5 linked regions of the Canis lupus familiaris genome follow. The protein of the gene in region 1 binds, or shares a complex with, the protein of each later gene. Links are inferred from orthologs where the notes say so. Each region holds a gene or a part of one and is shown in the gene's direction. Other genes may lie near its edges.

Evidence for each region.
Region 2: CIR1 (region 1) and DNTTIP1 share a complex: the UniProt entries of both Homo sapiens proteins name them as parts of the histone deacetylase complex. The link is inferred for Canis lupus familiaris from reciprocal best matches to the Homo sapiens genes CIRSR and DNTTIP1.
Region 3: CIR1 (region 1) and ZNF541 share a complex: the UniProt entries of both Homo sapiens proteins name them as parts of the histone deacetylase complex. The link is inferred for Canis lupus familiaris from reciprocal best matches to the Homo sapiens genes CIRSR and ZNF541.
Region 4: CIR1 (region 1) and NKAP share a complex: the UniProt entries of both Homo sapiens proteins name them as parts of the notch corepressor complex. The link is inferred for Canis lupus familiaris from reciprocal best matches to the Homo sapiens genes CIRSR and NKAP.
Region 5: CIR1 (region 1) and SAP30 share a complex: the UniProt entries of both Homo sapiens proteins name them as parts of the histone deacetylase complex. The link is inferred for Canis lupus familiaris from reciprocal best matches to the Homo sapiens genes CIRSR and SAP30.

What each region holds. Positions count from the first base shown.
Region 1 is NC_049257.1:18,770,626-18,776,903, reverse strand, and holds the start of CIR1 (corepressor interacting with RBPJ 1), read left to right. Parts: upstream 1-2,031; 5' UTR 2,032-2,128; coding exon 2,129-2,200; intron 2,201-6,278. UniProt on the Homo sapiens protein: May modulate splice site selection during alternative splicing of pre-mRNAs. Regulates transcription and acts as corepressor for RBPJ. Recruits RBPJ to the Sin3-histone deacetylase complex (HDAC). Required for RBPJ-mediated repression of transcription.
Region 2 is NC_049245.1:33,723,857-33,730,174, forward strand, and holds the start of DNTTIP1 (deoxynucleotidyltransferase terminal-interacting protein 1), read left to right. Parts: upstream 1-2,344; 5' UTR 2,345-2,382; coding exon 2,383-2,487; intron 2,488-3,068; coding exon 3,069-3,139; intron 3,140-4,013; coding exon 4,014-4,110; intron 4,111-6,318. UniProt on the Homo sapiens protein: Increases DNTT terminal deoxynucleotidyltransferase activity (in vitro). Also acts as a transcriptional regulator, binding to the consensus sequence 5'-GNTGCATG-3' following an AT-tract.
Region 3 is NC_049222.1:109,164,926-109,171,165, forward strand, and holds the start of ZNF541 (zinc finger protein 541), read left to right. Parts: upstream 1-2,224; 5' UTR 2,225-2,269; intron 2,270-2,363; exon of another isoform or gene 2,364-2,404; intron 2,405-2,538; exon of another isoform or gene 2,539-3,421; 5' UTR 3,422-3,583; intron 3,584-4,516; exon of another isoform or gene 4,517-4,597; intron 4,598-6,240. UniProt on the Homo sapiens protein: Transcription regulator which is essential for male fertility and for the completion of meiotic prophase in spermatocytes.
Region 4 is NC_049260.1:92,606,925-92,612,554, reverse strand, and holds part of NKAP (NF-kappa-B-activating protein), read left to right. Parts: intron 1-1,242; coding exon 1,243-1,306; intron 1,307-3,271; coding exon 3,272-3,381; intron 3,382-3,474; coding exon 3,475-3,550; intron 3,551-4,747; coding exon 4,748-4,897; intron 4,898-5,630. UniProt on the Homo sapiens protein: Acts as a transcriptional repressor. Plays a role as a transcriptional corepressor of the Notch-mediated signaling required for T-cell development. Also involved in the TNF and IL-1 induced NF-kappa-B activation.
Region 5 is NC_049246.1:24,119,498-24,125,648, forward strand, and holds the start of SAP30 (histone deacetylase complex subunit SAP30), read left to right. Parts: upstream 1-2,029; 5' UTR 2,030-2,343; coding exon 2,344-2,658; intron 2,659-4,313; coding exon 4,314-4,439; intron 4,440-4,861; coding exon 4,862-4,960; intron 4,961-6,151. UniProt on the Homo sapiens protein: Involved in the functional recruitment of the Sin3-histone deacetylase complex (HDAC) to a specific subset of N-CoR corepressor complexes. Capable of transcription repression by N-CoR.

The sequences.
Region 1 (6,278 bases):
CCAAACTTTAGAATGGCTTTACACAAACAGATGCTAGCAATTTAAAACAGAATATAAATCTGGTAAATGTTTTCATTCGAAAGAGAACAGCACGACTCAAGAAAGAAACACCATGAGCCTGAAACTCTTAAAGACTTTTTTCTCTTTTCCTGTTATTGGAGGAGGGAGGTCACTAGCCGCTGGGTGAACTTCAACCTTTGTGTCCTGGATCGCCTTCTATTTGTGTTCTGAGCTTAGCTCTACCACTGCACAACCTGGGGAGGCTCCTTAATCTCCATCTAAGCCTTCCCCCTCGTAGGTAAATCCCTCAGGAGGCTCTTATTAGAATTTTTTTTTCTTATTAGAATTTAATAAGACAATGTATAAAGCTTTTTTGGATTTTTAAAAATATTTAATATTTTAAAAATATTCTATTTATTTATTCATGAAAGACACACAGAGAGAGGCAGAGACATGAGCAGCAGACTCCCTGCAAGGAACCCGATGTGGGGGACTCGATCCCAGACCCTGGGACTGCACCCTGAGCCAAAGACAGACGTTCAATCGCTGAGCCACCCAGGCTTCCCCCCGCCCGGGGGGGGTGCATATTTTATTTTATTTTAAAATAAAAATATTAAACATTTTAAAAAATATTTATTTATTTATCCAAGCTTTTTTGCATAGTGCATGGAACAAATCAATACAGGCGAGCTCGGTTCTTGTCTCTTGTAGTCCAAGAATGAATCTTGCGGACAAGAGAGCGAGCAAAGCGATGGAACTTTATTAAGCAGAGATACAGAGAAAGCTCTCAAAAGGGAGAGGGGTCCAGACAGGGTTACCACCCAGGGCTTTTAGGGTCTGTCTTTTATAGGAAAGTGACCAGGGAACTTGGTAAATTTCTTATCAATATCACGGTGGATATTTAGAAGGAACACAGTGGGGGCCTGTGAGCATCATCACAACAAGATGTTTTTGTAAATGTCACGAGCTCAAACCAGGGGTTCCCCTCTGGTTAGGATCTCCTCCATAACATCCCTCTACATCTGGATCTCTGGGATCGCTTAGCAGCCAGGTAAAGGGGGATAACTCCCTAACATTTTGGAGCTAGGGAGCTAGGTTTTGTTTTTTTTTTTTTTTCCTGTCTTCACCGTCTTATCTGTTTCCTCGGGGTGGGTAGGAGCCCGACTCTGGGGGCCTCTCCCTTATCCTTCCCTGCAAGCTGTTATTATTATTGGACAAAAGGGTAAACTGCTCCCAAGAGGTTTATTCTCGCTATCGCACCCCCCGCCTCCCTGCCAGAGGGCTTGGTTGCTGGAGCCCCTGCAGCAGTAGCAGCTCCGGGCACCCAAAACCCTGGGGTCTCGGGGCAGCCCGGGTGGCTCAGCGGTTAGCGCCGCCTTCAGCCCGGGGCGTGACCCTGGAGACCCGGGATCGAGACCCACGTCGGGCTCCCTGCGTGGAGCCTGCTGCTCCCTCTGCCTGTGTCTCTGCCTCTGTGTGTGTGTGTGTGTCTCTAATAAATAAAATCTTAAAAAAAACATGGAGCTGCACGACGGGGGTCGCAGGAGAGGCTAGGGAACAGGCCACCTCGTTGGTAGAGCAGTGGGGGAAGCTCGGGAGCCCTTGCCAGCTCCTAAATACGCATTCATCATTCAACAAATGCCTATGCACATCAGGCACACGGTACAGCCGGTAACAAAACATAAACCCTCTCGCTCCTTGTGGACCTTGGCAATTTCCAGGGCACAGGCTTTAGCTCACCGAGAGCTTTCAGAAGCATCCAGAGTTTGCACGAGAATTCGCTACTTCCACATTGCAGACGAGACAATCGGTGCGGAGACTTTAGGTAAGTCGAGTCAGAGTCCGCGGAAGGGACACCTTCGCACAGCCCTGCCCACCCGCAGCCGACCCCCTCCCGGAGCCCCCGGGCCGCCACGCAGCACCTCCCGGCTCGGCAGCTCCACTGCGCACGCGCCCTCTGACAGGGGGCGGGGCCTGCGGGGCGGGCGAAGGCGCGAGTTGCCGGAAGTGGTCACCTTTGACCGCGGAAGTTCCCGCCGCCCCAGGCGGCGCACTTCCGGTTAGGCGGCCGCGTTTGTTTACGTTGTTCTGAGACCCGGCGTCCAGCTTCCCCAGCTCGGGCTTTAAGATGGGGAAATCTTTCGCCAATTTCATGTGCAAGAAGGACTTTCATCCTGCCTCCAAATCCAATATCAAAAAAGTGAGTAAGAAAAAAAAAAAAAAAAGTGAGTAAGGGAAGCCGGGGAGGGTCCCGGCCGGGGGTGCCTGGGCTGCCCGGGGCTGCTGGAGCTGACCGTGGCGGTGTCTTGGGATTCCCGGGACAGTCGCCTCTTCCCCGGGCTGAAGCCCTGGTCTTCTCGCCCCTTCTCCTCCCCGGAGAAGCTCGCCGGCGAAGCTGGCATCAGCCAGGAGACGGGCAAGCCTTCGTCTGCTCGGTCGGCTCGTCAGCTAGAATGTAAATCTGTAAGATAACGAAGAAGTCTGATCGTAGTTACTTCCTCAAATGATTCTGGTTTTGTCTTTTCGGATCCCAGGGATCGTGGCTTCTGAGCTCTGCCATCCTGTCCAAAGGTGATTCCCTGTTTCCTTCAGATCTTGAAAGGGAAGTAAGATCACCTCTTGCTTCCCCTTTTTTAAATTTTTATTTTTTATCCCACCCGAAAATGTAGCGTCTGTCTCATCTCTTTGAAGTTGGGCTATTTTACGTAATATTTTTAAATTGAGGTGTACACAGTGTTACATTAGTTTCAGATATACAACGATGTTTGGCTTTATTTATGGAGTTAATGATTTTTTTTAAAGTAATCTCTGCACCCAACCCGGGGCTCCAGCTCACGACCCCGGAGAGGAAGAGTCACATACTCTGCGGCTGAGCCAGCCAGGCGCCCCTGTTGGGCTTTTTAAATGATCAGTTACAGGTCTACTCGGTGCAGTACGGAAAAACCCGTGCTGAATAGTATGGCCGTGGAAAGCAGAGTGGTGAAGTAGGAAATAGGAAAGTCTGACCTTTCTGGAATCCGACCAGGATTGTAATTATTTCAGTACAGTCACTTTTAAACTCCAGACCTTACACAAATATTTAAAATCCCTTATCCTCAGTCTCCTAATTTGTAAATTTAAAATGACAAGTATCCGTTACCACGAAATTGTTAGGAATAAATAAGATGGTGCAGATAAAGGCTGTGAAACAAAGCACCACCTAGCACCGGGCTCACCACATGGAGGGATTGCTCAATAAAGTATTAATTGCCCCCCCCCCCCTCCATACACACATTTATTTTTAGCCTGCTCTTAGAATACATATGTTATCCAGAGCTTCATCCTTGGCCTGTGCCTTACTTTGTTTACCTTATATGCTTTCCCAGACAGTCACATCCACTTTCATGGTTTTAACTACTACTTTACAACTCTGAAATCTGAAGTCTCACTTTTCTCCCCCAGCTCAAGGTACAAGACAACTGTATGATCTAGACAGTATCATCCTGGCACATTACAGGCATCTCAAACTCAGGATATCTGAAATGAATATGTATCGCATCCTAAATCTGCTTATCTTTTTATACTTCCTATCTCATATGGGTAGGAAATAGAGGTAGTAACACATTCCTTCATTCTGTTACCCAGGCCAGAAATTCAGATTCATCCCTTTTCCATCACCCCTTTATCTAGGTAGCTAATAAATTGTTTGTCTTACCTTCCAAATATCTTTTGAATTCATTTCTCCTCTTTGTCACTACAGCCTATTTCTTAGCTTAGACCTTCATTATCTTCCACCTAAACTTAAATTTCCTATAAATGGAATCATGCAGTATTTGGCCTTTATGAATGATTTTTTTTCTTAGTATGTTTTAAAAGTTAATCCATGTTGTAGAATGTATCGGTATTGTATTCATTTTTATTGCTGAATAATTCCATTGTGTGGATATAGCACATGTCTTACCCTGTATTTTCCTTGTCAAAATTTTGAACTTCTTCAAAACCCTGCTTAACATGTATAAAGTTACTTGTGTATGGGGTTATTTGTTGAAGCAAAGTTTATAATAGCAAAAGATTAGAAATTGCTTAAATGCCCATCAGTAGAGCGGGAGATTGGTTAAATAAATGGTGCGATAGCTCCACGGTAGAATGATATTCGGCCCCTTCTCCACCCAAAACCAAGAAAGTTTTTTTTTTTTTTAAACTAATCTAGAAATGATCTCCATAGTATTCAGTTTTATTTTATACATATTTTGTGTGCAAGTATGCAGTATATGTTACCATTTATGAAAAGATTGAGAAAAGAATGTATGTTTGTTACATATATTGGGTGTGTGTGTGTGTGTATGTGTATATATATAATCATATATATAAGATTATGTGTATATGCATTAGAACATCTTTGGAAAGATATATAAGAAATGATAACTTTGGCTACCTGAAAATATAGTTACCTAATTTAAAAATTAGCTTCTAGAGATACCTGGGTGGCTAGTTCAATATTTAACACTTGGTTTCAGCTCAGGTCATGGTTTCAGGGTCATGAGATCAAGCCTGCCATGGGGCTCTTCAGATTCTCTCTCCCTCTGCCCCTCCCCCCTCATGTGAGCATGCTCTCTCTTCTCTCTCTAAAATAAACAAATCTTAGAAAAATTAACTCTAAAAAGCAAAACTTGCTATAAAGCATTCCATTATACCAGCCTTCCTCCTGTCCTCCAGTCACTGTCTTGTTTTATTTTTCTTGTATATATTTCTATTATCCAGATATCAAACTTTATTATTATTTGCACAGTTCATTTTCTTATCGTGAAATAGTTTAAACATACAGAAGTTAACGTGATTTTTTTATCAGCATATTCTGAGCATTTTGAAGGCAAAAATGTATTTTATTTTTATTTCAGTCCATGGTACTCAAAATGTATTTAAGCACTTGAGCAATTGAGATTAGTAAAATAACTTTGTAAAATTTAGAGCTTTAAATAAATGGTAGTTATTCTGTTAGAAATAATATGTTCTCCACTTGAAAGTTATTATTAATGTGTTATTCTATGAGACAGTGACACCCTGCGTGTCTTTGTTGCAGCTGTTTTCACTTTGAGCTACAGTAAAAAATTCCAAATGTGCCTATCTTAAATGTAGGTGTTTCTTGTACTGTAACATTACATTGCTAAGTATGAAGTCAGTGGGAGAAACTTTCAGGGAACATACCAAAAGAAATTTCTGGTATATTCTGTCCCTGGAGAATTGCCTTTCCATTTCTTTTTTTTTTTTTTTTTTAACTGTATACTTTTTTTTTTTAAGATTTTATTTATTTATTCATGAGAGACACAGAGAGAGAGAGAGAGGCAGAGACACAGGCAGAGGGAGAAGCAGGCCCCATGCAGGGAGCCTGATGTGGAACTCGATCCCAGGTCCCCAGGATCACACCCCAGGCCAAAGGCCACGGTAAACCGCTGGGCCACTGGGGCTGCCCTGCCTTTCCATTTCTGTTTTTGCTTTTATTTCCATATGAATTCCTTCTTACCCACTTCTAAAACAGTGTCCCCTAGAACATTCCTATTTCATCATTATTAAAATACTGGTAACTACACCTGTTTTGCTTCTAGAATTTAGTAATGGCAGTCTTGTCCCACACTCTCCTCTGCATACCTATCTGCCCCCATATTAATAATTATAATTTTATCAATGTAAGTATTTGTCCTCCAATTTACCTTCCTAAAACAGCATATTTAGAGAGAAAGTCTTGACTTCTTGTTTACATTGAATGGTTGTCAAATACTGTGTCCTTTACTGTAAAGGCAGTAGGAAGGCACTGATACCTTTGAAACCAAGAAATAACCTGATTAAGTATTCTTGTATAAGTTGTGTGGGCTTTTTACCTCCAGTACTTTTATGATTTTGAGGATTTCACCTAGAGACACAGTCAGCCTGTGGTTTGATACCCTTGAGCAACTCAAGACATTTGACACATCTCTGTTACCTGTTTTCTCTCTTGTCTCTTTCCTTTTTTCTACAACTACCTTTCCATCTCTTTTTTTTTTTTTTTCTATTCCTTATCCTCCATTTCTCCTCTTTTGGAATGTCTGTGATACTCATGGGCATTGTTTATTCCTACTGGTTGTGCCGTAGGTGTTTTCTAGACTAGACATATTCCATATAGAGAGATGGTCATTCTCTTCTCTAGGATGATATGGAGACTGCATGCGAGAAGCTGTTGTACTACAGGTGCTCAAAGTGGTTCTTAAGTTTGATAGTTTTGCATGGAAGTTTAGCTATTTTGAATGACTAGATTTAAGGACCTG
Region 2 (6,318 bases), on another chromosome or scaffold:
CTCCTAGCAATCCAAAAAACAGAGTGGAGCAGACTACTTAGAAAACATCAGAAAGGGGCAGCTGGGGTGGCTCAGCAGTTTAGCGCTGCCTTCGGCCCTGGGGCCTGATCCTGGAGACCAGGATCAAGCCCCACATTGAGCTTTCCTGCATGGAGCTTGCTTCTCCCTCTGCCTGTGTCTCTGCCTCTCTTTCTCTCTCTCTCTCTCTCTCTCGAATAAATAAATAAAATCTTAAAAAAAAAAAAAAAAAACTACAGCAAAACCGTATGTGAGTTTGTTCAGAACTAATACAAATGCACCAAACACCTACATCTTGGTCCATCTAGCCCATTCAGGCCATTTTTGGATTGCATGAAGGCTAGCTGACAGAACCAAAAAGAAGTTGCTATGATTCAAGTAGTCTAGACCATCTATACTCCCTTACTTTATCTCCTCTTCTTCTATTTCGTTTTACTTTTATCTGTACTGTTGACATGTCCTGTCCATGATGACTTTGGTCAGACATGATATTTAATGGTATCCACTGACGTTGCTTGGCCCAGTAAGATTAAAGAGCAGAGGAAATTCAAGGCTTAAAGCAAAAATCTCGGGGCACCTGGGTGGCTCAGTGGTTGAGCAACTGCCTTTGGCTCAGGTTGTGATCCCGGGCTCCTAGGATCAAGTCCTGCATTGGGCTCCCCACAGAGAGACGACTTCTCCCTCTTCCTATGTCTCTGCCTCTCTCTATGTGTCAAATAAACAAAATATTTTTTAAAAAAATAAAAAATAGGGCAGCCCTGGTGGCGCAGCGGTATAGCGCCACCTGCAGCCTGGGGTGTGATCCTGGAGACCCCGGATGAGTCCCACGTCAGGCTTCCTGTAAGGAGCCTACTTCTCCCTCTGCCTGTGTCTCTGCCCCTCTCTTTCTGTCTCTATGAATAAATAAAATCTTTAAAAAATAATAATAAAATAAAAATAAAGCAAAAATATCCACTATAGAGCCAGAGTTTGGTGCCAAAGAGTTGCCTTATTGTTTTAAGGTTGATATTGGACCATGGAGATAATTAACATTTGTTGATAACCTAACATGTGCTTTATATGTATTATCTATTTTAATCCTCACAATAATCTTGCAGAGGTAAGAAAACTGGTTCAGAGGGGTTGAGAAAGAATGACCAACGTCATAAAGCTAGTAAATGGTGGTTACTGGAATTTAATAATAGCAGTGACAGATAGCATTGCTTGGGGGTTTACCTGTGCCAGAGTTCTTCACATGAATTAGCTCACTTAATCCTTAAGTGCAACCCTATTAGTTAGGTACCATTGTCCCCACTCTACAGATAGGGAAACTGAGGCACAGAAAGAAACCTGGATCACACAGAGGGTGGTAGACCAAAGGCAGGCAGACCAATTCCATAGTCAATATTCTTAATCACCATATCATGCTGGATTTGAACTCATATCTTTCTACATTAAAAACTCAGGTACTGGGGCGCCTGGGTGGCTCAGCGGTTGAGCGTCTGCCTCTGACTCAGGTCCTGATCCCAGTCCAGGGATGGAGTCCCTCATCGGGCTCCCTCCAGGGAGCCTGCTTCTCCCTCTGCCTATGTCTCTGCCTCTCTCAGTCTCTCATGAATAAACAAAATACAAATAAAAACTCATGTACGTTTTACTATTCCACATTGTGACCTTGGAAAAGGAACTTTCTCTACTACCCGTAAATCGATCCAGTTCTATTTACGGACATCCTACCTCTAAGCCAGAGCTAAGGGGAGCTTTGCGAAACTCCATAGCTGTTAAACCTCTGCATCCCCGCCCATCCCAGGATCACCTTCCTGGAGAGAGAAGCCCAGGTCGCTGGGGCTTGGGAGAGTCCACGGGCCAAGACCCAACCTTCATTATGATGCCTTTAGATGCAAGAGGCATCCCCTGGAGCCTAGGCCTCGAGGGACCCGGTGGGTGTTTGGAAGGGCATGGGCCAGACCCCCTCTTGAATTTTCGGGTCCCCGCATTAGGCGCACTCTACGGCTTTCAAAGACTGAACTGTGGGCCCCGCTGTGCTCCCCTCCGCACCTAAGCTCCAGCCCCGAGAGCCCGCTCTCGTCCTTCCTGCCCCGCACTTCTCCACCCGCCTTGGCCCAGCGGGGAGCGCTCCCGGGCCAAATACCCACAGTCCGCACCCGAGGAGCCGGCCGGGCCGCAGAAGAAGCCCCCGCCGCGCGGCTCACAGCGCCTGCCTGCTTCCGGGCCCCAGCGGGACGCGGCCTTGCGGTTCCCATGGAAACCCCGCGGCTCGCCGCGTCGCGCTTCCGGGCCGGCTCGCGGCGCCCTCCAATGACGTCACAGGGCCACTTTCCGGCCGGTGGCAGAGTCGGGCTGAGGTTGGGGGGCGCCGGAGGAGCCATGGGGGCCACTGGCGACGCCGAGCAGCCGCGGGGACCCGGCGGGGCAGAGCGGGGCGGCTCCGAGCTGGGCGACGCGGGCGCAGCGGGGCAGCTGGTACTCACGGTGAGGGCGCCCCCGGGAAGGCCGGGGCCGGGGCTGGGGCTGGGCTCGGGCCGGCTGGGCCTCGGGCTCCCGGGACCCTGGCCCGCGGGCGAGAGAACGCGGCGGCTGGTGCTGCCCAGGGCGGTGGCGTTTTCGCAGTCCGACCACCCGGATTCAAATTCTGGTGCCGCCCTCCAGGCTAGGCGATGTGAGCCGGTCCTGTCACCTCTGAGCTCCAGTTTCCTCTTCTGTAAAATGGAGAGGATTGGTGCCTGCCTCGTAAAGTTGTTACGGGGATGGGGTGTAAAGGCGAGCAGAGCGCCCAGCACGCTAGCAGCCCCAGAGTGGTCCCTCGGTAAACACTGGTTCCCTTCCCTCTCCCATCCCAGAAAGGGTGGGGTTGGGACTTTTCCAGGCAGGAAACTTCAGTTCCTCCACCCCGGCAGGACCTTTCAACCGCTGCCCTCCCGCCTACCCGAGGGTGGGAGAGATGCTGACAGTACCTGAGAAGCAGAGGTGTCCACGTTTAACTTCATACTCACCGTCCACCTGTACCCTAGTGTCACAAGCCTCGGTGACATCTGTTCCCTTGGTCCCCACAGAACCCTTGGAACATAATGATAAAGCACAGGCAGGTGCAGCGAAGGGGCCGCCGCTCACAGATGACAACAAGGTAAGGCTGGGCCTGAGTATTGACCTCCCCGGCATTGATTGGCTTGGATGGCACCCTTGGGGTCCCCACTACACAGAGCTGAAGAGAGATCAGCAGCTGTTAGAAGGAGCAATGGACTAGGAAAAAGGAGACTCGGCTTTTGTCACTCTGGATGTGACCTTGGTTGAATCATTGCCACCTCTGAACTCTTGTACAAAATAGGAGGAATCATGAATTCAGCAGTGCCTAAGATCCTAACACTCACTCGCTCTGTGGTTGAGGGCTCTAAAGAGGCAAAATAGCATAGAGGTTTAGAAAAAAGTGGGGCTGGGGCACCTGGGTGGCACAGTGGTTGAGCGTCTGTCTTCAGCTCAGGGCATGCTCTCAGTCCAGGGATGGAGTCCTGCATCGGGCTCCCTGCATGGAGCCTGCTTCTCCTTCTGCCTGTGTCTGCCTCTTTCTATGTGTGTCTCATGAATAAATAAAATCTTTTTTTTTATTTTTTTAAAGAAAGAAGTGAGGCTAATAGTAGTATTTATCTCAGTGAAGGGAGAGAGCACAATGGACCCATGGGATCCTGATTAAATTTCTTGACCTGAGTAGTGATTAAGTGGATGTTCACTAAAACTATTTGTTAAAATGAAAAAAAAAAAAAAGTGTATAGACTTTGTATTTCATAAAACACTTTAAAAAATAATACTTATTTTGTAGGGTTCTTATGAAAATGGAATAAAGCCATACATATGTTTCATTTGCACAGAACCTGGGCACATAGCTTGTTTTCAATAGAAGCTATTACTGTTATTAAAGGAGCCTGTGTCAATAATTGGCTGGGCAGACTAGGAAAGATATGTTTGGGACATGACCCCTGACTGTGTCTCCCTCCTGAATGCAGTTTCACAGATCCTGCCATTTCCATGGACCTCCTTCGAGCTGTCCTGCAGCCTAGCATCAACGAGGAGATCCAGACGGTCTTCAACAAGTATATGAAGGTGAGAGGTACAGAGATGCAAGGGCAGACCTTTCCTACATTACAATCCCCCTCGCTCTTTTTGGTACAAACAGATGAGTCAGGTTTTCCAATTCTGAATCCCTGAGAACTTTTTTCGCCCTCTTTAGAGGTAATTTGAATACCTCTTTCGCCAAGCTATTATGAGGATAAAATAATTTAAGTTTAATGTGCTCTGCACCATGTTACAAACAAGTGTCTTTCTTATTTGTTTAACAGGATCAACATTATTATTATTTAAAATTCCTTTCTAGGCCTATAAATAAACTTCCACATGACTCTACCTGATTGTCCCCTAGATGCTTGAAACAGCATGTCCAGAGCTGAACTCTTTCTTCCTAAACCTCTTCCTCTTATGTTTGTTTATTCATTCAAGAAGCATGTACTGAGCACCCACCATTATAGCAGGCACTGAGGATGCAGCAGCAAACAAAATGAACAGTGTCTCTGCCCTCTTTAAACAAATAAGTACTATGCTAGGAAATGCCAGAGAGAAGGGGGAGAGAGTAACCAGTGGGGAACAGTAGTGCTGTTTCATAGATTGTGTCCAGGAAAGCCACATGTGAGCAGACACCTGAATAAAGGGAGAGAAAAACAAGCTGTGTGGACACATCAGGGGAAAACACCCCAGGCAGAGGGAACAAGAGCAGACACCCTGAGGCAGGAGTGTGCTTGGACACTCAAAGCAACAAAGTCTCGGGCAGCCCCAGTGGCTCAGCGGTTTAGTGCCACCTTCAGCCCAGGGTGGGATCCTGGAGACCTGGGATCAAGTCCCATGTCAGGCTCCCTGTGTGGAGCCTGCTTCTCCCTCTGCCTGTGTCTCTGCCTCTCTCTCTCTCTCTCTAATGAATGAATACATAAAATCTTTAAAAAAAAAAAAAGTCTCCAGTGTGGCTAGAGCAGACTGAGCCAGGAGGAGAATAAGGAGAGGTAATCAAAGAAAATAGGGGCCCAGTTCATGCAGAACCTTTGAGGCCATGGTAAGGATATTGGGGTTTACTCTGAGTAAAATAGAGGCCCTTTTAGACTTTTGGGCAGAGCACTGGATCTAAACTTTTTTTTTTTTTATCTAAACATTTTTTTAATATTTTTTATAGATTTTATTTATTCATGAGAGACACAGAGAGAGAGAGGCAGAGACACAGGCAGAGGGAGAAGCAGGCTCCATGCAGGGAGCCCAACGTGGGACCTGATCCCGGGTCCCCAGGATTATGCCCCGCCAAAGGTGGCGCTAAACCACTGAGCCACCAGGGCTGCCCTGATCTAAACATTTTTAAAGGGTCAGTCTGACTGATGTGAATCACCTGCAGGAGAATCAGTTAGGAGGCTTGAGAGGATAGTGGCTTGAGTGTTAGCAGTAAGGGTATTGGGAAAGAATCCCATTCCATATGTATTTTAAAGGGGTGTGGGAGGTTCAGTCAGTTAAGTGTCTGCCTTTGGCTCAGGTCGTGGTCTTAGGGTTCTCGGCTTAAGCCCTTCATCAGGCTCCCTGCTCAGTGGGGAGTCTGCTTCTTCCTGCCTCTCCCTTCACTTGTGCTCACTCTCTTCTTTCTCTCTGTCAAATAGATAAAAATCTTTAAATAAAAAATAAATAAGACAAAGGTATTGCTGATGATTCAGATGTGCAGGGTAAAAGAACAACTAAGGTAATCATGCAAGTTATCTGTCCAGGGCAGCTATAACAACAACGTTGCCACTGACTTGATATGAGGAAAACAGGAACAGGCAGGGGGAATCAGGAGCTCAGTTTTGGACACGTGAAGTTTGAATTGGACTACATTCACTTAGAAACCAGAAACCTAGGGCTCTGCCTTTCCTTCACCTTCTCCACCCAGAGTCCTGTACATTCCACTTCACAATCTGTCTTGCATACCTTTCTTCTTCCTCACCTCTGCCTTGGTTCAAGGCTCCTACTACAATTTCCAACTGCTGCTCTTCTTCCCCTGCATCCATACAGCTGCCAGTGACCTCTAAAGTATAAATATAAGGGTGTCACTCCTCTATTTAAAATCCCTTGGGGATCCCTGGGTGGCTTAGCAATGTAGCGCCTGCCTTTGGCCCAGGGTGCGATCCTGTAGTCCCAGGATCGAGTCCCACGTTGGGCTCCTGGCATGGAGCCTGCCTCTCCCTCTGCCTGTGACTCTGCCTCTCTCTCTCTCTCTCTATGTCTATCATAAATAAATAAAATCTT
Region 3 (6,240 bases), on another chromosome or scaffold:
GTTTTTAAAAATAATTTTTGAAAAAAATAATTTTTGAATGCTAATTTTTTGTGTTATATGTCACAAGTTATCTTCTTTGTCCATAAAGTGTTAAATGTTTGTCAAAGGATGGGAAGATACTGATTTATTCCAGGAGTGTAAGTCCTGTTCTTTAAACTCCCATGAACCAGGATCCCTGAGTGGCGCAGTGGTTTAGCGCCTGCCTTTGGCCTAGGGTGAGATCCTGGAGACCCGGAATCAAGTCCCACATCAGGCTCTTTGCATGGAGCCTGCTTTTCCCTCTGCCTGTCTCTTTCTCTCTCTGTGTCTCTCATGAATAAATAAATGAAATCTTAAAAAAAAAATTCCATATTCTAAAATGTTTGCTATATAAGTAAAAAAAAAAAAAAAAAAAAAACTCTCCTAAATTGAAAGGTGTTTAATTCCTGTCTTTGCAGAACTTACAAGGCGTTACACAATCCATGCCTAGTATACCCTTTTCTTTGTCCACATAGATGCAGCCACATTGGTCTCTGTTATTATTCAAATGGATCCACGTCTTCCTGTCTCAGGGCCTTTGCACTTGCTCTTCCACCAGCTATTTTTAAAATCTTTTCCTTCAGGTCTCTGCTCAGTGTAACTTCACCAGAGAGACCGTCACTGACCTGTTATCAAATAGCATCCTCTGATAATCTCCGTTCTCTTTTCTTCTTTAAAGTATAACCACATTGCATTCTAAATGTATTTTCCTGTCTCCTACTGGAGGTATGCTCTTCAGTCCCAGAGTCACTAAGCTACCTGTGGCTCTACTCAAAATGTGACTGCTCTGGATTAAGATGTCCAGACTTTCCAAAAAAAAAAAAAAGGAACTTATTAAAAATTTTGTATTGATTACATGCTGAAATAACATTTTGTGTTTTTTTTTTACAATTTTATTTTTTGACACACAGAGAGAGAGCATAAGTAAGCAGTGGTAGGCAGAAGAAGGAGAAGCAGGCTCCCTACTGAGCAGTGTGACCCATGCCAGGCTGGATCCCAGGGCCCTGAGATCACGACCTGAGCCCAAGGCAGGTGCTTAACCAACTGAGCCACCCAGGTGCCCCAACATTTTGGTTTAGGTTGTACTATTAAAGCTAATTTCATGTCATTGCATCCTGTATCATTTGGACAGCGCTGCTGAGAACACAAGCTCGAGCGGGAATGTGCGTCTGACTCAGACATTGCTCCGTCTGCTCTATCTCAGATCAGAAGCTCAATAAATATTTGCTCAATGAAGGAATCCAAAAGTAGAATGCTGGTCTTTTTCTTATCCTCTCTGTTCCGTCCGTCTAACCCAGGGATCAAAAAAAAAAAAAAATCAAATCAACAAAACTTTACTGAGATATTATTTCCATAAAATCCAACCTTTTCTAGTGAATTCAGCACGGCGTGCAACCACCGCCGCTCACTTCTAGAATCTTTCCATCACCCCAATCAGATGCCCTTATGCTCCGGTACGGGGGGGGGGGTCCCCATTCCCACCCAGGCGCCTGCAAAGCTGCTCTCGAACTCCTCAGATGGTCGGGGTTCACTTCCTAGGGGATGAGTTGCCCGTCTTGGGGGCTCTGGGGTAGCACCCTCAGGCCACGGCTCACCCCGGTCCCATCCCTCCGCCCAGCAGGACCCAGCGGGGAGCTGGACCCCCACCCCCACCCCCACCCCCGGCACGACGGGGCCGCGTAGCCGCATCTTCCCAGCCCACCGAAGAGCAGGTCTTCGCGGCTCCCGCTCGCGCCGCGGCTGCCTCGAGGGACCCCGAGACCCGGCCGGGCGGGACCCCGCCCTTGCAGCCCCCACCGCGGGCCACCGCAGCTCGGAGCGGCCGCTGGGAGCCCGAGTCCCCCGCCGCTGCGTTCTAACGCCGCCCTCCAGGAACAATGGCCGGAGCCGACCGACTCCGGGCCTCCGCGTGCGGGTGTCGGGGAGCCCGGAAGGCCGGCCCCTCGCCACCCCCGTCCCCGCCCCCGCCGCAGGCCCTTCCCGGGCTCCACTTTGACTCTCTCCCAGCCTCAACTGCCCCCCTCGCAAAATGGCGACCAACCGCCTCCTTTCCCGCCTGCCGTCGGTCACCTGACCGCACCAAGCCCCGCCCCTCGCGTGGCCCCGCCCCCTCCCGTCCGAGGCCCAATAGCTGCGGAGACCTCGCCGCCGGGCGGCACGCGCCGGGAGCCCGGGCGGCGCGAGGGGCGCGCGAGGCCGCCCTGGGTGTCGTGGGGGGACCCGCAGCCACGCACGCGCGCCCCCGCCGCGGGTGAGCGGGCCGCTCCGGGGGCGGGCTGAGGTGCGCGTGCGCGCCCGGAGGCGGGCGGCGCGAGGGGGGCAGGGGGCCGCTGGGAGGCCCGCCCGGCGCGAGGCTCGAGGCCGGCGCGCGAGCCCCCGGGGGCGGGTAAAACCCGGTTGCTGCTGCCCCTGCCCCCTCCCTTTCCTCCCTACCCCCCCCTTCCCGCCCCTCCTCACTTTTCAACCCCTCCCCCCCCTTAAAATCTAATTCGTTTATATATTTGTTTTTTAGGGGGCCCATCTCCCTTTCGAGGAGCGCAGCAGGCGCGGCGGGCGCCCCTCACCCCGCGTCACGCACGCACCTTCTGCACCCCAACAGCTCCGGGCCCCGCTGCACCCCGCAGGCCCTTCGCCCTTGGAGAAGGCTCTCCTGGGGGGGCCCCTGGCCCACTGCATCCCCTTCCTTACCTCCCCCGCCCCGCAGGCCCCAACTGCCCCCTCGCAGCCCCCCCCCGGCTCGCGCCTCGGGCCCTACCGACCTCGGCGCTTTCTGCACCGCGGCCTTGCATTCGCTCTAGCTTCCAGGCCTTCTGCTAAAAATCACCTTTCCTCCTGAATAGGGGACCCGAATTTTTCTTTTAGGATCTTCCAGCAAAACCAAAAATCTCTTCTCTTCTTTGATTATACCCTTCAACCTCCTTTTAGAAACTTTCTCTAGCAAAAAAGAATATAAATATATATATATATTTTTTTCTTTTCTGGATTTTTCCTCCATTCAGGATCTCTTTCCAGCAAAAATTTTCTGCCCACCAAGAGCCCCCCTTTTTGTCCTATCTTTCCACTGATAGCAGAGGAGCTCTGTTCTTCCAGTTTCTCATGTAATACTTGTTTTTCCAACGCTCTTCTCGACCTCTTCAGCAAAAATCCCTTTTTTGTCCATCACCAGTTTTACCCCAATTAGGCTTTTCCCAGCAAACCCCTCAGGTCCCTTCCCTAGGAAGGAAAGTAAGGAAAAGACAAAAATAACTCCCTTAACTGCAAAACCCTTTCCCTATCTAGATCTCCCCAATTTAGTATTGCTTCCTTCCTTCTTCCAAAAATTGCCTGTCATCCCCACAGTTTCACACCTGTGTGCTTGCTTCTTTGGGGACCCAAGTTCTGAATGCCCCTTCCTTTCCACCAGCTGCTTTCAGGACACAAGAAGTTGGATGAGTGTCCTGAATTTGCTACCCGGAGTTCCAGGAGGAAATATCCAGTGGTCTGACGGTCACCTGAACCCCCTCCCTGTGGGTCCTAAATTGGGCCCTCCTGTTCCCTGGAGATTCACTCATTTGTTCTTCTCCTGGTGAGTTTTCCCCTTTGCCCCTGTCCACAGATCCCTTCTTTGTCAGGATTCCTTCCTTTCTCAGAAGGATTTCTAATTGGCCCAAGTCTCTGTACCGATGATGAAACCATTATAAGTTTCTGCTTTGTGAGGTCAGATAAGGAAAAGGTTATGTATAGTGCATATTGGTAAATGCCTGCAGTGTGATGAACCAAAGGTCACGTGCCCCATCTAAGTGATACCAGTCAGTGGAAATGCCAGGACAGTGTTGCCAGAACTTTAAAAAAAAATTGTTTTTGAGAAGAGACACTATATTTATGTCAAACCTTTTGATCTGTAAATGGTGACAATGAATTTAATAGGTATTTAAAGGCAGTGTGGAGCCCTTACAAAACATGCCAGCTGGCCACCAGTTTGGAATATTTGGTTTAGGGTTTCTTTCTGTGTAAGACTTGCATACACAGATACTCACCCACTTGGGCACATGTGGATGCAGGACTTTTCCTCTTTACAGCCACAGTTCTCTAGCTTTTTGATCTTAGGGCTCCCCCCCTTATATTTAAAAATCATTGAAGATCCCAGAGAATTTGTGCACGTGAACTCTATACTGCTGATATTTGCACTATTAGAGGTTTAATACGTTTTTAAAATACTTATTCATTTATTTATTTATGATAGTCACACAGAGAGAGAGAGAGAGAGGCAGAGACATAGGCAGATGGAGAAGCAGGCTCCATGCACCGGGAGCCCAACGTGGGATTCGATCCCAGGTCTCCAGGATCAGGCCCTGGGCCAAAGGCAGGCGCCAAACCGCTGCGCCACCCAGGGATCCCTACTTATTCATTTAAAAATAAGTGATAAGCTTATTATGTTAACAAAATTGACTATTTTAAATATTTTTTGAAAGATGATATTTCAGAAAGAAATTTCGTGAGAATAGTGGCATTGTCTTACCTTTTGGAGTCACCTAGAATCTTATTTCTGCTACTGCATTCAGCCTTTTGAAATATTCCCTGTAGCTTCTGGAAAGTCTCACTGAGAATGAAAAAGGCAGGTAATGTCTGAATATTATTATGAAAATAGTTTTGACTCGAAGAATCCCTGCAAGACTCTGAGGACCCCCCAGGTTTCCCACCCCCATCCGCCTCACTTGGAAAACCTGCTGTTCTAGATGTTAATGCTTATTTGTATTTTATGCTAGGATCAGCTTTTGGAATGAGAAGGCTTGAGGTCTCTTTTCCTCCCTTAGTTAATTCTATGTGAGAAATTTTCTTAGAAAGCATAGTCATAGTTTTCTGATTCCTCCTTGTCTTCTATCTAGTTCTTAATGTGAGCTGTAAATCTGTTCTTTTAATGAGCAGAAGAGATGAGTTACCCTAATGGTTTAAATTATAATGGTTACATGATCAAGGGAGGGAGTGTTCTTTGGTTGTTCAGCTTAGGAAAGGACGTACGGCACATGGGGCAGGAGTCCCAGTCTCAGGTGTGGAATCCTACCATAGATGAGTGGTTACATGTGACGGTTTTGACATCAGAATACCCGGGGTTGAATTCTAACCTTGATCTTGGGCAGTTACTTAACTTCTCTGGGCTTTATTTACCTCATCTGTAAAAACAGGGTTAAGAACAGAGGATGTGCCTCAAAGGAGTGTTGTGGGAATTAGATGATCCATAAGTGATTCCAGGAGTGCCTGGCATAGGACAAAGCCTCAAGTGTGTGCTGCTATTGTTGGTATCTATATTGATCATAATTATAGGGGCCAGACAGGAAGAAAGCAAGGATCTTTGGGAACATCTGTTCAGAAATGGCAGTTATCCCTCATCTCTGTCCTACTAATAACTATCACGAAATGCAAAATCTAATAATTTTCAAGAAAAGCCAGAAATTAATATATCTAGTTGAAATCTCCCCATTAAAAAAAAAGTTGGTGAATGGGACGCCTGGGTGGCTCAGCAGTTGAGCATCTGCCTTTGGCTCAGGGCATGATCCCTCCCTGTCCAGGAATCGTGTCCTGCATCAGGCTCCCTACAGGGAGCCTGCTTCTCCCTCTGTCTGTGCCTCTGCTTCTCTCTGTGTGTCTTTCATGAATAAATAAATAAAATCTTTATTTTTTTTAATTTTTTTAAGATTTTATTTATTTATTCTTGAGAGAGAGAGAGAGAGAGGCAGAGACACAGGCAGAGGGAGGAGCAGGCTCCACTCAGGGAGCCCGATGTGGGACTCGATCCCGGGTCTCCAGGATCACACCCTGGGCTGAAGGCACATGCTAAACCACTGAGCCACCCGGGATGCCCATAAATAAAATATTTATAAAAGGGGATCCCTGGGTGCTCAGTGGTTTGGCGCTTGCCTTCGGCCCAGGGCGTGATCCTGGAGTCCCAGGATCGAGTCCTGCATTGGGCTCCCTGAGTGGGGCCTGCTTCTCCCTCTGCCTGTGTCTCTGCCTCTCTCTCTCTCTCTCTCTCTGTGTGCATATCTCTCATGAATAAATAAAATCTTTAAAAAAAAAAAAGTTGGTGACTAACCCTGTTGCAAAAAGCACTGTGTAGGCCAAACAAAACAAGACTATAGTTGTGATAATGTTTGGAGTAGGAAAACAAGGCAAGGACTTGCATAGCTGGGGTAGAAGCTGCAAGTCTCTCATATTTCCCAGCTTCCAACAATCTGACCTTACTCG
Region 4 (5,630 bases), on another chromosome or scaffold:
GGGACACATTACGTAAAGGTGTCTTTTCCTCTGATGTCACCTGGGTTTCCTGGCTCCTGTTGCTACTTTTCTTTCTCACTGTTGGAATGAACTTTCTTAAAGCACAAATGTGAGTATGTCTGTCTCCTACTTAAAATCCTTAAAAAAAATCCTTCAGTACTCTGTAGTTTCCAGGGTAAAGTCCAAACCCTGATTGATCCTTCTCTAATCACACATATCCTGTCACTCTTGCAGCATCCTCTGTAACCTGAGAACTATCTTCTATCTCCTCAGTATTTTGCGTTCTTTCTCTTGCTTCTGTCACTTGATACAGAGTCCATCTGTGTACAGTGCCAGTCTCTCCCTGCATGTGGCTTGGCTTACTCACTTCAATAATGGTCATGTAGTACTTTTGTAATAAAACTGATTTTAAAAAGAACTAGCTTAAGGGTAGTTCTCCCTAGGCCAGCCTGATAATGAGATTTTTCTGTACACTCAGAGCACCCCATGCTTCCCTGTATCACTCTGGATTCTGTTTATCTCTTTATGTCTGCCTCCTCCATTAGACTGAGCCCCTAGAAAGCATGTCCCTGGGCCCAAACACATAGGATTTTTGCTTTCTTCATTATGAAAATACTCAAACATTAGAAAGTAAGGAAAATAATATAATACAATGTACACATATCACTTAGATTTTAAGTTTTTAGTATTTTGACATTTGCTTTAAATAGCTTTTTTTGCTGAGATATTCAAAGTAAATTAGAAATATCACACTACTACCCTAAAGATTACTATATATACCTCTAAAAAACAATGACATTTTCCTACTTACCCCATGCCATTATCTCACCCAATAAAATTAATAATACTCTGTATCACTGAAGACTTAGTGTGACTTTAATTTCTGTGTCCCTGGTACTGAACACATATCCAGATGAGTAGCAATAAATGTTTCAATTAATAGCTTTCTCGGGGATCCCTGGGTGGCTCAGCAGTTTAGCGCCTGCCTTCCGCCCAAGGTGTGATCCTGGAGTCCCGGGATTGAGTCACCAATGTCGGGCTTCCTGCATGGAGCCTGGTTCTCCCTCTGCCTGTGTCTCTGCCTCTCTCTCTGTATCTCTCATGAATAAATAAATATAATCTTTAAAAAATAAATTTCTCTGTAACAACTAATAGGGCAGCAATAGGATATTTATCTACTAAAAATTCTGGGGTTTTAGAGTTAAATTTTTGTTTTTAATTAAAATGTGCTTTAATTTGCAGATGAAGATACAAAAAGAAGATCAAAGAAAGCCAAGAAAAAGGAAAAGAAGAAGAAACATAGATCGTCAGTTTTCTCTTTAATTTTTATCATGGAAAAGTTAAAATATATATAAAATAAAGTAATAAATAATGATAAATAGTGTAATGAACCCCTGTGTAACCATCACCTAGCTTAATAATTTCAACCCTTGGACAATCTCCACTGCCCTCCCATTATTTGAAAACCAATCCCAGGGGATCCCTGGATGGCTCAGCGGTTTGGCGCCTGCCTTCAGCCCAGGGCGTGATCCTGGAGTCCCGGGATCGAGTCCCACATTGGGCTCCTTGCATGGAGCCTGCTTCTCCCTCTGCCTGTGTCTCTGCCTCTCTCTCTCTCTCTCTCTCATGAATAAATGAATAAAATCTTTAAAAAAATGAAAACCAATCCCAGGTATCATTTTGTCCATAAACCAGCATGTTTCTCTAAAAGTTAGCCATTCTTTTTTAAAAAATCATAATTGTTATTGTGATCAAAAATCACAATATTGTTACTGTGCCTAAGATATTTAGGAATAATTCCTCAATTCTCAGCAGGTTTTTATATAGTTTATTTAAATCTGGATTCAAATAATGCCCATAAATTGTGATTGGTTGATACATTTCTTACATGTCTTTAAATCAGTTGGTTCCCCTTCCCTTTTTTTCTTGCAATTTATTTGTTAAACCAAATCATTTACCTATCGAGTTGCTGATTGTATTTAATTTTTTTCTTTATTTTTAAAGGTTTTTTATTTTTATTTTTTATTTTTTAAAAAGATTTATTTTTAAGTAATCTCTATACCTAGTGGGCTCAAACTCATGACCCCAAGATCAAGAGTTGCATGCTCCACTGTCTGAGCCAACCAGACACACCTGACTGTGTTTTTATGGTGTGCTTTTAACATGTTCTCTGTCTTCTCTATTTCCTATATATTGACAGTAAGGTCTAGAGAATTGATGTTCAGATTTGAGTCTTTGGCGCACATACTTCATAGGTGCTGCTGTGTACTTTGTCAGGAGCCAGATAATGTCTGGTTGTCTCTTTTTGTCATATTAATAGCCATGGATTGTCATTACTTAGATTCCTTATTTCATTAGGGATTACAAAATGGTGATAGTCTAATTCTGGCTTTCTTGCTTGCTTGCTTTTTTCTGTCTTTCTGCATTTATTAGGTAAAATAATTCTATAAGAGAAACCTACCCTCATCAACTATTTGGTTACTCTGAAGTACAGTTTATATAGGAAAGGCAGGTTAATGACTTTTTCTAAAACTTTCTTGGTTTTATGAGTTTTCAAAATAATGAGTTGGACTTTTTAAATATCATTATGAACCCAAGGATTCAAACATAGTTGATATATTTTAATCATTACACTTCAAATTATTGATGCTCAAATTGTTTTTTAAACTGATTTGTTATCTTTTTGCAATGTGAGAACCATATTTCATTGTCCCTTGAGAAATCTTTTTTATAGTGAAACATGATTTGGTTAAATAAGTTAAAAGATCTTTTAATTAGGGGTGCTTGGATGGCTCCGTCGGTTGGGTATCTGCCTTCAGCTCAGGTCATGATCCCAGGGTCCTGGAATCAAGCCCCGCATTGCTCTCCCTGCTCAATGGGGAGCCTGCTTCTGCCTCTCCCTCTGTTTTCTGTTTCCCCCTGCTTGTACTCTCTGTCAAATAAATAAATAAAATCTTTTTTAAAAGTTTTAAGATTTTATTCATGAGAGACAGAGACAGACACAGGCAGAGGGAGAAGCAGGCTCCATGCAGGGAGCCCGATGTGGCACTCCATCCCGGATCCCAGGATCATGCCCTGAGCCAAAGGCAGACGCCCAGCCGCTGAGCCACCTAGGCGTCCCTAAAAATTTTTTTTTATTAAAAATCTGCTCTAAAAATTTTAGTCAGCTGAGAACTTAAATCATTTTCATCAGCCTTTCATTGCCTAAAAAATGTGAGATTCCCTTTAATGTGGGAGTATTAAGTGTATTTATATCAAATTATAATTACAGGAAGAAATACAAGAAAAAGAAATCTAAGAAGAGTAGAAAAGATTCCAGTGATTCAAGCTCTAAAGATTCCCAGGAAGAGTTTCTGGAGAATCCCTGGAAGGATCGATCAAGTAAGTTCTTCTGGTAGACTTTGACTCAGAACAGATAAAACATTAAATTAACTAGTCAAAATATGAATCTGTTTCTGAACATCTTTCCTGTAGAGCCTGAAGAACCCTCAGATTTAATTGGCCCAGAGGCTCCAAAAACACTTGCCTCTCAGGATGATAAACCTTTGAAGTAAGTTAACAGTGTATTTAAAATATCTAAAGTAGAGGCACCTGGGTGGCTCAGTTAAGCATCTGCCTTCAGTTTGGGTCATGATCCTGGGGTCCTGGAATGAAGCTCCACATCGGGTTCCCTGCTCAGCAGGGAGTCTGTTTCTCCCTCCCCCTGCTCTCTCTCACTCTCTCTCTCTCTCAAATAAATAAAATCTTTTTAAAAATAAATATAAATAAAATATCTTGAAGTACATTCCTGAAAGTACGGCCCTAACTTACCTTTCCAACTTCCAGCTGTATCTCCCTCTATGCCCTTATTTACATGCCAAATTCCAAATGAGCTGAACTAAAACGTCCCTATATTTACTGTGTACTTTCCCACGTCATGCCTTGTTCACCTTATGTCTTCCCCCAACATGCCTTCACTTCTTTTCCCTGCCCTTGTTTCTTCACTACTCCCAATTTCATCCTGTTAACATCCTTACCATCTTTCAAAGCTCTTTTCAAAAGGAGGGGTCATGTGCTGATTCCCAGGACCCTTCTCTCTACAAGTAGATGGGATTCCTACCCCTCTTTAATCTTCTAGTCCTCACGGTATTTTCTCTTTCTTCTGTGCAGTGTTTTTTATATGTTCTGCATTGTATTGCAGTTATGTCCCTATCAGTATATAAATTCCATAAGAAGAGAGATTATTTTTGTCTTATAAGCTCTGAGTTTAATAGGTATTCAAGATGTAGTCAATGAATTGAATCGAAGGGATGATAGTTTTTAAAGTCCCCTCAAATGAAAGTTAATAGATAATTGTTATTGTATAGCATTGTTACTGGTTCTGAGTCTAAAAAGTATGTTAATTTGAGATATGTTAGTTCTTTTTTTTTTTTTCTTTAAGGGGTTAAACGGGAAAGGAATTCACTGGAGGCAGAAGCCATAAAGGCAGTGCCTGTAGGGATAAATTGATCCGTAATTGTAAACCATGAATCTAGGCTCACTAACATCAGTTCTTCTGTTATTCCAAAGCATGTCTGTATTTCTGGGTTAGTTATGTAGGTCAGAGTGCAGTGTTCACTAATTAAAGTAATTCATGTTGGGCTTCCCAGCATGCTGCCACTCAGCAACTGTTATTTGTGCTGTTTTCTGAGAGAAAATCTTTTTGTGCTCTCTTTAGATGATATACTTTTTATAATGAACCTTTTCTGAATTCTGAATTACTTTGTAGCTATGGCCATGCTCTGTTACCTGGTGAGGGTGCAGCTATGGCTGAATATGTAAAAGCTGGGAAACGTATCCCAAGAAGAGGTGAAATTGGCTTGACAAGTGAAGAAATTGCATCATTTGAATGCTCGGGTTATGTAATGAGTGGTAGCAGGTAAGTTACTGGCATCAAGATCAGTTTCCATGATTAGATCTTTTCCTTTCTCACTACCAGAATTATATTTTGGTAATTGATTTTCATTAAGTGATCATTCCTTATGAAAAGTAGAGTATAGATTTTGGTTTAATATTGGTTTTATTGGTATAAACATAGTTGTCTAAAATTCCAGGTAAGTGTGCAACTCATCCTCAAAATCAGCTATCTCTCCAACTTCAAAGATCAATCTTTCCAGTGTCCTTTCCTAGTTTGTATTTTGGTACAGGTAGTTTGTCTTCTGGAGGATATAGTTAATTCAGTTATTTATCACTGCCCCATGAGGAATATGGCATTCTGGTAGTAGGAAATCATTTTCATGAGACAGTGTATCCTGTTTTCTGAATTTGCCTCTAGTTTTCTGTAGAGTCAGAGAATGTAGGTTCTAATTATCTGTGGACTCTGCGAATGAAGAGCAGAAAAGGATTATAACAGCATGGGAAAGTAAATATAAAATTGTGGAAGAAAAAGCAAAGTACCAGGAAGAATGAGGAGAGTGAATTAATAGGGCATCAGTACCAAGATCAGACTGAGTTTTAGATTTTTTAAAATGTTATAAACTTTTAAAAGCAGGTAAATACTAAAATAAAGTTGGAGGCAGATATTTGGAGAACCCCTGAAGCACCTCCAGAATCTTGGAATTCTGAGGACCAGCTACAGTAAGACAAAAAGAAATGAGAGTCATAAGCATTGA
Region 5 (6,151 bases), on another chromosome or scaffold:
CAGCATTATCTAACAAAAATATGTGAACCACATATGTAAACATTTAAACGTTCTTGTAGCCACATTTAAAACAACAGGTAAACTTTAATGTTATATTTCATTTAAACCAGTAAATTCAAAATATTATCATTTCAACATATAATCAATATAAAAAGTATCAATGAGCCATTCATTATAGTTTTTTAAAAACTTCTAGTACTAAGTCTTTGAAATCCTGTCAGCAGTTCTTACTTGCAGCACATCTCAACTTGGGTTCTAAGTTTAGATTTCACAAAATTTAGATAGAAAAAAAAATGTATTCATGTATCTAAGCTGTTCCAAACACACTTGAAGTCTTTACAATAACTGAAATCTGTTTTTTAAATTTAAAGTTAAATTAACAGTTTTTCAGTAGAAATAACCACATTTCAAGCTTTCAATAGGCACATTGGGCTATCAGACACCCTACTGGAGAGTGCAGCTTAAAAAACAAAACACAAGACGCACCTGGGTGGCTCAGTGGTTAAGCATCTACCTTGGGCTCAGGTCACGATCTCAGCGTCCTAGGATGGAGTCCCGCATGGGGCTCCCTGCAGGGAACCTGCTTCTCCCTCTGCCTGTGTCTTTGCCTCTCTCTCTCTCTGTTTCTCACGAAGAAATAAAATCTTAAAAAATAAAAAGGGTAACACAACATACTTACCATGCAGCATCTTCCTTTTGCTCATTCAATTTACGTAATAATATCTTAACGTTTTGTTTTTGTTTTTGTTTTTTGTTTTTCCCTTTGCCATAGCCTAGAACTGAAAAGCACAGACGGAATGGATGGCTTTGAATTTCAGGGCAGATGACATTTAGGTTTTTTTAAAAAATCATCTATCACTAAATTCACTCAGCAAGCCTGAAAGAACTTGCAAAAGAACCTGGTTCGTATTTTTATTTAAGCCAAAGGACGGCTAAACAGGACACATCCGATACAGTCACAGTGACGCGCAGCAACCGGCAAAGGCGCACGCGCTCCTATCAGCCGCTCCATTCCCCGGCCCCGCCCCCTACAAGCACGCGCCCACGGGCACGCACGCGCACTCACGCACTCTACACGCACAGGCGCGGGCGGATACACACACACACACACGCACGCACGCACTCTACACGCACAGGCGCGGGCGGATACCCCAGGAAATGCGGGTTCTTTCTGGCCTTTCACTCCGCAGAGAGAACGCCGGGAAGTTTCCGAGGAGCACTCACGCTAACTATATCGGGGCTCCACGTCCCCCTGGACAGGGTCCTGGATCCCACTTTTCTCTAGGGCCTTTAGAAGAGAAACGGTGAAGGTTGGGTGGGGGTGGAGGCGGAAAGAAGCCGCTCCACCGCAGGAAGCGGCCAACTTTGATCGCCCCAAAATGAAACCCGATCTTCGCAGGAACGTGCAAGGATTTAAAAACGGCCTTCAGCTGAGGCACTTGGGAAGCGGCCCTGTCACGGTCGAGGTCGGAAGGGCGTTTTTGCCTCAGCTGGTGTGTCAATGAATGGAACTGTGACCCGGGACCTGCGGCATCTCCCGGACCCGAAGAGCGCCAGCTTCCCCGAGTTCTCCTTGGTTTGGGTGTCCCACAAAAGCATGGCCACACCAAAAATTCTTTTTCCACAGTAAGAAAACGGCCCCGAAACTTTTTCACGCCGCACCTTCCCTCCTAGCTTCCCGCCCAGAACATTTTGCGCCTCGCCTCAGGAGCGGGGTGGCCGCTTTGTCTAGTAGAACGCCAACACTGCAGAATCCCGGTAGCGAAAGACGGAGCAACTTCCTGGGAGAGACTAGAAGCGAGAAAACATCACCACCCCTAACCACACGCCCCTGTTTTCCCACTGACTTAAAATAAATAAATAAATAAATTAGCAGCCGAAGCCCTGCCCGTCGCCGCGCGATGCATGCTAGCATAAGTAGTTCCAAGGCGCCCAGTTCGGGGTGGAACTCAGAGTGATTCCCCCTCAAAGAACTACAATTCCCATGGTGCCCTGCCACACAGTGGAAGGGGCGGGGCAGGAGAGGGCTCGTCGCGCGTGCGCAGGTCGGGGGGCCGGAGGGAGGCGGAGGCGCCAGGGTCCAACTGCTGAAGCGTCTCCATGTGACAGTGACCGGAGTCCTAACTCCTGGCGCCGCCCGGTTCTGGCTTCTGACCCCAAACGCTGTCCCCCATCCCGGCGCCAGCGGACAACAGCAGACCGGGACGCCTGGTGTGTGGCGGTGCCGCTGGAGGAATCGCCCCGGCGGGGTCAGGTGTCTGAGGGACCCCGCGGAGACCCCGGAGTCTCCGCAGAGAGGGGGAGCGGCGAGCCGAGCGGGGGTTTCTGTCGGCACGCGGAGACATGAATGGCTTCACGCCTGAGGAGATGAGCCGCGGCGGGGACGCGGCCGCCGCAGTGGCCGCCGTGGTCGCCGCCGCCGCCGCGGCCGCCTCGGCCGGGAACGGGGCAGGGGCCGGCGCCGGGGCTGAGGTGCCGGGTGCCGGGGCGGTGTCGGCTGCTGGGCCCCCGGGGGCGGCCGGGCCGGGCCCCGGACAGCTGTGCTGCCTGCGGGAGGACGGAGAGCGGTGCGGCCGGGCGGCGGGCAACGCCAGCTTCAGCAAGAGGATCCAGAAGAGCATCTCCCAGAAGAAGGTGAAAATCGAGCTGGAGAAGAGCGTGAGTGACGGCGGGACGGCCATGCCCTGCCCTGCTCTGGGGCTCCCGGAGCGGTGCCGACCGGGGTTCAGGGGCGGACGGTTCGGGGGTCCCCTAGACCTGGCTGTGGCGCGAGCCCGTCGCGTGGTCTCGGGTAGGACGCGAACCACAAAGTCGCCGCAACTCGGACCGCCTCCCCCGCAGACCCACGCCAGCCGGCCGCGGGTCCGCTGCTCCCCCCGCCCCCCCCCCGCCTCCTCTCCCTCGCGTGCCCACCCCCACCCTTCCTACCCAACCCCCGCGCACCCCCACCCCGTTCCGGGTGTCCGCCCTGCTCGCCGTCCAACCCCTTCCTCCTTCCCTGAGGTCGGGACACGAAACAAAGAGCACCGCGGCTCGGAGGGCCCGGAGTAGTTTTCTTGCAGCCTGTCCGCTCCTCCTTTGTTTTGCTGCCCAAGCTGGCGCGTGGCCCCGGGGAGCAACCCCCGGCTGTAGGCAAAAGTGTAGTCCTGCAAGCGAGGCCCTGGTGCCGCGGTGGAGACCGACTCCTCTGCTCGTCCGCCGGGTTGCGGAGGGAAGAGAGCCGAGCTCACCCCGCGCGGTGCAGACCGCCGGGCTGGTGGACGCCGCCAGCATCCAGCGCAGCTGCCGGGAATGTGGGGAGCCCGCTGCCTCTGCGGCGCTGCCACCCCTTCGGCAGCATCCGGATTTCCTTTACCGTCCTTGTTGTACACGTCCGTTTCTTGTGTTTCTTTGACCATCTGTGAGGTTTTCAGAAACAACCATTGGCACTTTGCGGAGTTTTGGCTGGCGGTGAATGGATAACAAGATGCCAGAACCTAGCATACGCCCTGCATAATTTTAACTTGGACTTCGTTTACAAGTTAAATTTCAAAGCCTTAGTCTTTAATCGCTTGTTGTTGTTGTTTTTTAAAGGAGTTTAAACTGTTAATAATGCAGCCCAGTATTTCAGATGTTACCATACAGCGCTCAAGACTACATTTAATTGAAGCTTTTGCAAAGTTTGTGATCTATTATGCCTGTTAAAGAGTTCTTCAGTCATGCTTGGGAGACACTTCTCAAGTAAACTTGAATAGTTTCACATTGCCTTTGGTTGAAAAAAACGTAATACAGACAAATACATTCATTAAATACTCAGAAGCTTGTAATTCAGATGTAAATATAAGTAGTATATGAAATCGGTAGCTCGTTTGTAAAAATGGATAGTTTTGTATCTGGATTATAATTTGAGTACTGAGAAAGGATATGAAGCTACTAAAATGTGCTCTTTAGAGAAAATACTGTCAGTAGCAGAATTGTGGGCAACATCATCTTTCCACTTATTAAAAAAACAGCGTGACCTAACAAATCTAATTCACCCTCACTACAGTTTAATTAAAAAATCCAGACAATTGCAATTTCTCATTCTGCTTGTCTGCTTCCCTTCCTTCCTTCCTTTCACTCCTCCCCACCCCACTCTCCAATCCTCTTAACCCTATTGTCAGACACGGTATGTTCTAACTGAATACAGGACTTAAGCATAGAAATATGCTGTTGTCTTAACAATGGCCTATTTTGACTTTTTATTTTTAATAATTCACTGTGCCCTATGTATTTTACTAATACGTAGACACGTTACATAATAATAAGTAGTCTGTGAAACTTTTTTGTTTTAGGCAAGGCATCTTTACATTTGTGATTATCATAAAAACTTAATTCAGAGTGTTCGAAACAGAAGAAAGAGAAAAGGGAGTGATGATGATGGAGGAGATTCACCTGTTCAAGATATCGATACGCCAGAGGTAAAGTTTCTGTATGTTAAATGTAAATCCTAAGTATTCCATTCTGAAACTTCTATTAAAAGATAGGAACAAATTTTAAAAATACTTAATGCGAAAAATCTGAAAATGAAAGCAAAATTAAATATAGCCAATTAATAGGCAGTTGTAGTTTGACTTATGTTTTCAATTCACAATGCTTATACCTCTATTGCCTTCTTTTTTTGCTCCCAGTTCTCAGTATTTACCTTCAAAAGATTGAAGTGCTCTATATATTTGTAGTTTTGATTATGTAAAAGAAGTAATGGAATGGAATTAATTAAATAATGTAATTTTTGTTACTTAATTACATTTTTGTTGTACCAAAATTGAAATGCTATTATGCATATCAAAGATAACAATTTAAAAATTGCATGAACTAATTCTTACATGTTTATTTTTTCTAGGTTGATTTATACCAATTACAAGTAAATACACTTCGGAGATACAAAAGACACTTCAAACTATCAACCAGACCAGGACTTAATAAAGCACAACTTGTTGAGGTATTTATGAAGTTTTAAATGAGCCTGTTTATATAAAAAAGTTATTAAAGGCTAATGAAATTGTTAATGTAGTACGTATAACAATACAGCTCAGTTAGAAAGATCAGTTAATAAAAAATCTATTGTGGAAGAATCTAGTTTCCTAGAAATGTTTGTCTGTCTCTTAAATTGCTTTATGTAACAACCACTCAGTGGATTGTATGTAGCTTTCTAAATATCTTTTAATACTGGCTTTCAGAAATAGCGGGTAATAATTTTTAAATTCTCATTCTAGAAATCTGTTGGTTTTAAAATTCCACTCAGGAAGCATTTTTTGAATACCTTATTGAGGCATAATAAAAGAAATTGATAAGCTTTGTTGTCTTTATTATAAATTTTTTGAGTTTTTGATGGATTAGGTCTACAGATTAGCCCATAAATAGTATTCCTATAACTTGTTGATTTAACGATTTCAGAATTTGTCTTTGGTGATGTTAGCTTGTTTTATTAGAGGCATCTATGCCTTCACATCTGGAAGATGCAAAGTTTTTTTTTTTTTTTTAAGAGTTTATTTATTTACTTGAGAGAGATCTGAGAGAGAGAGCATGAGCAGGGAGAAGAGCAAAGGGAGGAGACACAGACTTCCTGCTGAGCCGGGAGCCTGATGGCAGCTCAGTGAGAGGGACTCGGGACTCTGGTATCATGACCTGAGCTGAAGGGATACATTTCATTAGCTCCACCACATAGGCACCCCAGATGCAAAGACTTTTATCCAAGGTTTTATTTAGTTTGCTTTGATATAAAACTTTTAGTCTTTTTGTAAATTTTGAAATATGTGTGTTTTCAGGAGTTAATAAAGAACCAAGAAATCTGTGAATCAAGGCATTTACAGATTTATGTATTTGTACTTTAATCATTTTAAGTAAAAATACTTAATCTACTCAACAGAATAGAAATGTAAATATATAAGTCAGTTTTCTCATATTTTTCAGCTTGTGTTTAGTAATGCAGTGTTTTTTAAAATGCGCATATCGAATAAGGTAAAAGATACAGAAGGTACAATTCTTTGGCAGAATGCTTTTTTAACATCGTTAAGATATAATATACTGACTTTTTAGCCAGAATTTCCTCTTTCCTTCTTGCCCAAGCAACAAAAATTCAGTTTTTCTTTAAATTTGATTTAAAAAATATAGCCCTTTTTGGATTGTATAG